Linked DNA regions of Danio rerio. The protein of the gene in region 1 interacts with the protein of each later gene in a pairwise test. Links are inferred from orthologs where the notes say so. Each region holds a gene or a part of one and is shown on either strand. Other genes may lie near its edges.

Region 1 (3,835 bases):
CTGAGAGCCAATCAGAGAACAGAAGGAGTACAAAAGAAAGCGTGGGCCAATCACAGACACAGAGCAAAATGAGCCAATCATAAACAGAGCACAGAGCTTGAGCCAATCACAGACTACAAAACAGGAAATAACAGAGACACAGAGTGAGAACCAATCACAGAGCAGAATGAGCACAAAGGAAAGCGTGAGCCAATCACAGCCATGGAGCAAAATGAGCCAATCATAGACCACAAAAGAGGATATAAGCAGAGAGACAGAGCGAGAACCAATCAGGAGGAGCACAAAGGAAAGTGTGGGCCAATCACAGACAGTGAGCAAAATGAGCCAATCATAAACACAGAGCTTGAGCCAATCAGACTACATAACAGGGAATTACAGACACAGAGTGAGAACCAATCACAGAGCAGAATGAGCACTAAGGAAAGCGTGAGCCAATCACAGACATGGAGCAAAAAGAGCCAATCATAGACCACAAAAGAGGATATAAGCAGAGAGACAGAGTGAGAACCAATCACAGAACAGGAGGAGCACAAAGGAAAGTGTGAGCCAATCACAGACACCAAGCAGAATTAGCCAATCAAAAGGCAGAATGCGTTAACCATAGAGCACAAAGTACAAGTCAGCAACATGAACAGAATGAGCCAATCACAGATTGTGATCCAATCATAGACACAAACCACAAATCTTGAGCCAATCACAGAACAGAACGTGAGCCAATCACAGACAGAGCAGAAGCCAATCATCAGTACAAAGCGAGGAGCTTAAGCAAATCACAGAGAGCACACAGAGTGAACCAATCACAGAGACAGAGCAGATTGAGCCTATCCAAGCACAGCATCCAATCAAAGACGCAGAGCTGGAGCCAATCAGAAAGAAAGCACACCAAGTGAGCCAATCACAGAGCACAGAACAGGAGCCAATGGCTGCATTCCAGTCCATTTTTTTAATCCCCTTCACTCACTAACCTCCCTCAGTCTCGTTCACTCTGATATACATCACTGATTACCTTACACAAGTGTCCACTACTGGTGGAGCATCTGAATGGGTTTAAATGTAATGCCCTAAACCCTTGAGCACTGGAGAACTACACTGTTACACAACCGCAATCATGTGGGTATGTAGTAGACATATAAAGCCGACACGCTCCCTTGGTCCAATTTGAGGCTCCAATCTGACGTCTCTCATACACTTGATGAAGTAGAACACACTTTAAAATGTCAGCAGGCACTCCCCAGAGGGAACAAGTGAAGGGAAGTTGACAAGTGTGTGTGTGTAAGTGGAGTGGAACGCAGCGAGTCAAAGAACAGAGCAGAATGAGCCAATCGCAGGACAGAGCCATTCACACACACACAGACTGTAGGTCAAGTAAGAAGCAAAGTGTGGTACCTCTCATTCATGTTGGACACCGAGTTGAGAAAACTGTCCAGCTTCTTAGACACCAGCTCCATTCCCTTCTTGAAGAAATTGATCTGTGGAAATCAAAGAGGATTGATAAACGTTCATCTGGACTGCTCATAAACGAGATATAAAGTCAGATCAAACAGGATTAAACAGTCCTGATCAGACTAGTGTGTAGTTTGGAGTATGACCTGAGCGTGTGTGTATCCCAGCATGGGCTCCAGCATGGCCACTCTCTTCCTGTACTGCAGCGCATTCAGAGCACAATAATACTGCATTGCTGCCTGGTGCTGCTTCCTGCGCGAATACGCCACCTCTCGCACCACCTCCGCTTTCACCTGTCCACACACACACACACACACAGTAAATTAGTTTTAGTGAATTCTGGGGACTTTCTATTCACTTCTATTGTGTTTATACTGACCAAATGCATTTCACTTTCAGACAAACATATTTTAGTTGTTTAAATTCAAGGCTGAACACACAATGGTAAAAATGATAGATTTACCATGCTTCTGAGCATTTCAGAGACCAAGTATCCGCACAAGCATGGTAAAATGACAGACTTACTACGGTTGTGTGGAGACCAAATAATCAAAGAAGCATGGTAAAATGACAGATTTTACCATGGTTGCATGGAGACCAAATATTGAAACAAGCATGGTAAAATGACAGATTTTACCATGGTTGTATGGAGACCAAATATCCAAATGAGCATGGTAAAATGACAGATTTTACCATGGTTGTGTTGAGACCCAAAAAAATCAAAGAAGCATGGTAAAATGACAGATTTTACCATGGTTGTGTGGAGACCAAATAATCAAAGAAGCATGGTAAAATGACAGATTTTACCATGGTTGTATGGAGACCAAATATCCAAATGAGCATGGTAAAATGACAGATTTTACCATGGTTGTGTTGAGACCAAAAAAAATCAAAGAAGCATGGTAAAATGACAGATTTTACTATGATTGTGTGGAGACCAAATAATCAAAGAAGCATGGTAAAATGACAGATTTTACCATAATTGTATAGAGACCAAATATCCAAATGAGCATGGTAAAATGACAGATTTTAACACTGTTGTGTGGAGACCAAATATCTAATAAAGCATGGTAAAATGACAGATTTACCATGGTTGTGTGGAGATCAAATAATCAAACACGCACGGTAAAAATGACAAGGTAAACATTTTCCCATGCTTGTGTGGATATTTGGTCTTCAAAATGTTGCATAAATAACTAAACACACACACACACACACACACACACACACACACACACACACACATGTGCACAACACATACACAAACAGCTCAGCTCAGTTTAACAGCTCAGCATTGACATTTACCTTCTCGTTTTCTCTTTTTTTAGGCAAACGGCTGTATTTCACCATGGCGGCTTCGTGCTCTGAGGAGACCAACACAGACAGGGGAAGGATTTGTATTTGTACTAGAAATATTTTTCTGTGATCCACTTTTAATAAAATTATATTACGATCTTTATACCATCAGTGGCGATGCTGAAAATCTCCTTCAGTGTGCTGATCTCTAAAAAAACACACACACACACATCTCAGCTTCATCAACTTCTCATTGGTGAAATAAAAACACATGTAAAAAAAATAAATAAATATAAAAAAAAGAGTAGCAATATAAGTGAAAATAACTATAACTAAATAATTGGAGAGTTTTAAAGGCAAGCTACATCAGCTAGATCAAAATAATAAAAAACACTGATATATACTGGTGTTGTCATGGTTCTGGAATTTGATACCAATCGATACCGTAATTTTAAAAACGTCCATTTCCTGCTAAAATGTAAGCGCTGTTGAGCACGTTCTTAAACAGCGCTGATTTGCAACTCAACAGAAATGAAACTTTTATTGGCCGTGAAGGTCTTTAGTTTCGGCACTCACACTACAAGCGTAGTGCCCAAGTGAACCGAGCTGTGTGAGTGCTCTGAATCAGGCTCAGGCGCGGTTCAGTTGGCCAGCACTGGCCCGGTTGGAAGAGGTGTGCCAGAGCGCGGTTCACTTGGGCTTTGGCGCGGTACGCTTGTAGTGTGAGTGCAAAGTGCAAAGCCCGAAACTAAAGATGAGACGTAACTTTTAAAGGACTGTTTCATATGGATTTATTAATCATTCTTACTGTTCAGTGAACACAAACTGTTGTAGTTTATTAAAGACGCAAACCCCTCACTGCACGACAGCTGTCACCTTCAGCAGACCTCTTAATTCCTGCAGCACGAGAACGTTATGATTGTTTATGAGCGTCGAAAGTTGCTGATCTGTTCGGCGAAATATTTGACTGCGTGTCACCGCATGTCAAACGCCTAAACCGATATAACTAAATAAATGTAAACTGTGCTGAGCGAGATTGCTTTACCTTTGTTAAACTGAACAGCACATCATCGATGACATAAGCGTGCTCGGGCTC
Region 2 (3,935 bases), on another chromosome or scaffold:
ATTTTCAGTAATAAAATATTTTTGTTCACTTTTTTTAGGCCTGATACTTGGTTGTTGCTTGCTGTTTTAATAGTCTGTATTTATATGTATTTATATTAACATATTTAACAATTTAACCAATTTGCATTTAGTCTGTTTTCCAAAAAAATACTAAAAAAATCCAACCTGATGCTTTAGAATTTTTTTATTATTACAACTGTCCCTGTGGGTTGTTGCAAACGTCCGCCTGCTTGGGGTCAGTTGCATTGTATAGATTTGTCTGTTCAAGATTAAATTCTGCATACAGTGCTCAGCATATACGAGTACACCCCCCACAAATCTCTCATTTAAATTAATATTTTTTATAGGATGCTTTACAATATTATATTTGTGCATATACATTAGATTAGTCTGTATTAAAGCCAAATATAGAGCTTATCTAACAAATTAACTTACAATAACGGTTCAAAAATTAGTAGCCCAAATTTATGTGTCAGGGAAAAATATTAAATAAAAATGTCAAAAGTAGCAAGGATGTCCACAAACAACTGTCTCCGAGAAACTGAAGGAAATGCAAAAAGTGTTGCAACTGTCCACACTCTCCCCTAATGGTAAAAATATGATATGATTATAATATGATTTCCATCTATTCTTGCTTCTATTTTAAATGGATTGCCGTAAAGTAATATAAAATAAATAAACTGTAGAATCTGCATTGTTGTAATATTAAATAATAAACAAATAATAAATAATAATCATGATAACTGTAAAAAATAGGCAGCAAACGTTTAGATTTGTGGTGCATTAATAATTGAATAACGTTTGATGACGCCTGTTAATGTTTTAATCAATAACCCGCAAAAACGTAATTAATTCTAAGGGTGTATAAAGTGATCAAATAATTAGGCTATAATAAAAAATACAACTATGGATTATGTTCGGTTACAATTCTACACAATAATTCGCACAATTAGGAGTAGTTTTTGTGGTCAAATGCAGCAATGAAGCCTGCCAAAAAAAGTAGTTCCTCCTGAGAGACTCGTTTCCAGCCGGTAAAAAATTAATGCGACATGACAAGGAAAAATCATGTGAAAAGCATAACAACAATGTACATTGTAATATTTCTGTAACATGTATATTCATAAACATTACTCTATGCGTTTTTACAACAGCTATTGTTTGCTTAGAGAAGAAATTCGCCGCTGTTGTTGTGGTTAACATTCAGCACACAACGGCTTTTTAACTCGGTCACCGGGTTCAAGTATGGACCCAAAACACAAAAAACTGCTCCGAACACAGCGGCTTTTTCTGTCCGAGGAGCTTTTAGTGGACGATTTAATCATTCAGTATTTATATCAAGAGGAGATACTGACGGAGAGCCATTTAGAGGAGATTCAGTCTGAGTCGTCAAGCAGAAATAAAACGTTAAAGCTGCTGGATATTTTACCGAGCCGCGGAGCGACAGCCTTCCATCACTTCATAAAGTCACTGGAGAAAGACTTTCCCTGGATCAGAGACAAACTGCTGCAACTAAACGAGGAAGAAGAGTCTCCTCCTCCGCCCTTCACAGGTGAGTCCTAAGAGCTGAAACTGACTGAACATCCAGAGGACAGAAATATGTCATTAAATATCCCACATGTTTTCTCAACTTTATATCAAACTTTATAATAGTCATATAATAACCATATTTATAATATACTGTATACTGTACAATATAAATGGGACAGAAATATATAGTCAAAAATCCAACATTTTCTCTCATATTTATAATATACTGTATACTAGTCATATAATAACCATATTTATAATATACTGTATTCTGTACAATATAAATGAGACAGAAATATATCTTCAAATATCCTACATGTTCTGTCATCTTTATAATATACTGTATAATAGTCATATAATAACTATATTAGTGTATGCTGTATACTGTAAAATATAAATGGGACAGAAATATGGCATCAAATATCCCACATTTTCTCTCATATTTATAATATACTGTATAATAGTCATATAATAACTATATTAGTAAATACTGTATACTGTACAATAGTCATATAAATATATTAGTATTTACTGTATAATATATGGAAAGAAATATATCATCAAATATCCTACATTTTCTCTCATATTTTAAATATACACAAAGATTTAAATTCAATTATTAAGATACCCCTTAAAAAATCTGTGTGGCTAGATTTGTTTGAAGTTTTAGTCAAACATTCTTATTTATTTTATTCTATGAGGCCACATACTATAGTAAAGTACTCAAATTAATCTGTTGTGGTATTTCTATAGTTGTTATCTATAGTTTTAATATTGTGCTATAGTAATATAATCAAATAATTACTGAATACTGTACAATAACTATTACACTTCATCTTTACATGATGTATAAACTGAAATATACTACAGAATTGATTGCACTTTATCAGATCATTATATCTAAAGTATTATGTAGTATTCATTATCAACATTTTATAATATATTGTAGATTTTTTTAAAATCATAAACAGAATACACCATACAGTATAAAATACTATAGTATTTTTATAAAACATCTGTTTCAAATATTAAGTAAAAGTTTTGCATTTAGAGCATTCCCAGAAACATGACTATTTGTGAGAATAACATATATTTTCAGTTGTTGTGACTGAAACTCAGTATTACTCCACCAAATATTCATTTCTCAATATTTTAGACTCATCTGAAGTTAAAACTACTACAGTGATAAATATAAAGATGTCTGAAAACAGGGAACCTTTTGCATTATTTTATGCAAACAATGCTGCAAATGATGAATGGATAGATAGGCAGTATTTTTTGTCCTAAATGTCCTCATATGTGGGTTATATCTCCACAAAATGAAATCAAAGTGAAACATGCTGAACGTTTTGTGACTATAGCTGTCCTTAGTTTTCCTAACAGTCATCATTAATATGCATGCAAACAATAATTAACCTTTACATTTGATGTTATTTAACTGAAAATAAGTTACCAGATAACACTATACACTATAAGAACTGCAGGTGTAAATGGCATCTTTGCTAAAGCCTGGCACAAAGCATATTTCCTTTTGAGGTCAATGTATTGTTGTGCAAGTCCGTGTTAAACAAACAAATTCAAAACTGATTTAAAGTCATGTAAGCTTTATCAGGCATTATTGAGTCTTTGTATTTCAGTGATGTCTTGCAAAAATAAAATACTGATCATAAAATGACATTAAAATTGTGGGACAAAAGTGGTTGGACAAATAGTGGCAAGGTATAATTTGTTTTTTAATGAACAATGAATTTGAGCTTTAACAGTTTGCACTGTAATCAATGAATATACAATTTAAATATATCATCAGGTGATTCTTGATTTAAGGCAAGATAGCTTTTTTGTATTGAAACTATTGATCACTGAATGACATTTTTAGTAGGCGTTTTCTCTAATTTATGTTAATAATATATGTTAGTCGTCATTTTTTCTTCCAAAAAATGTATTGATTAATTAATAAATTCAAAAAGCACTAAGCTGAAAAGAAAATTAATGATAGGACAAATTAATAAATACAGTTTTTAATATTAATTAATAATAAATAATTATTAATTTATTTTTAAATACAATTATATATTTATTTCATACAGTTTACTCCCAGTTTTTTTTTCTGTAAAGCTGAAACAATGGTTGAAATCATTACAGCTATGTGAACATCGGGTATTAGTATTATAAAGTATTATTCTTTCAGATTGGTCAGGTTTATTTAGTATGCAGATTGACTTACATTTTTATGTTTGTGGCTCTGTATAAACTGTACATATTTGTTGTATTGTGTTTTTTGTTTGTTTGTTTGTTTGTTTATTTGTTTATTTTGTTATGTACACAATGGATGAGGGCTGCAAATTAGCTTCATGCTATATGCCCTATGTACAGCATAGGTTGTCTTTGTATAACCATGTCACATGTAT

What was found.
Region 2: the proteins of appl2 (region 1) and cradd interact in binary tests that used the Homo sapiens proteins (3 or more experiments, as listed by UniProt). The two-hybrid records come from large-scale screens. The link is inferred for Danio rerio from reciprocal best matches to the Homo sapiens genes APPL2 and CRADD.

Annotation. Positions count from the first base shown.
Region 1 is NC_133200.1:6,422,713-6,426,547, forward strand, and holds part of appl2 (DCC-interacting protein 13-beta), read right to left. Parts: intron 2,948-3,835; coding exon of another isoform or gene 2,906-2,947; intron 2,808-2,905; coding exon of another isoform or gene 2,794-2,807; coding exon 2,749-2,793; intron 1,737-2,748; coding exon 1,590-1,736; intron 1,470-1,589; coding exon 1,387-1,469; intron 1-1,386. UniProt on the Homo sapiens protein: Multifunctional adapter protein that binds to various membrane receptors, nuclear factors and signaling proteins to regulate many processes, such as cell proliferation, immune response, endosomal trafficking and cell metabolism.
Region 2 is NC_133179.1:19,005,306-19,009,240, reverse strand, and holds the start of cradd (death domain-containing protein CRADD), read left to right. Parts: upstream 1-1,049; 5' UTR 1,050-1,242; coding exon 1,243-1,549; intron 1,550-3,935. UniProt on the Homo sapiens protein: Adapter protein that associates with PIDD1 and the caspase CASP2 to form the PIDDosome, a complex that activates CASP2 and triggers apoptosis.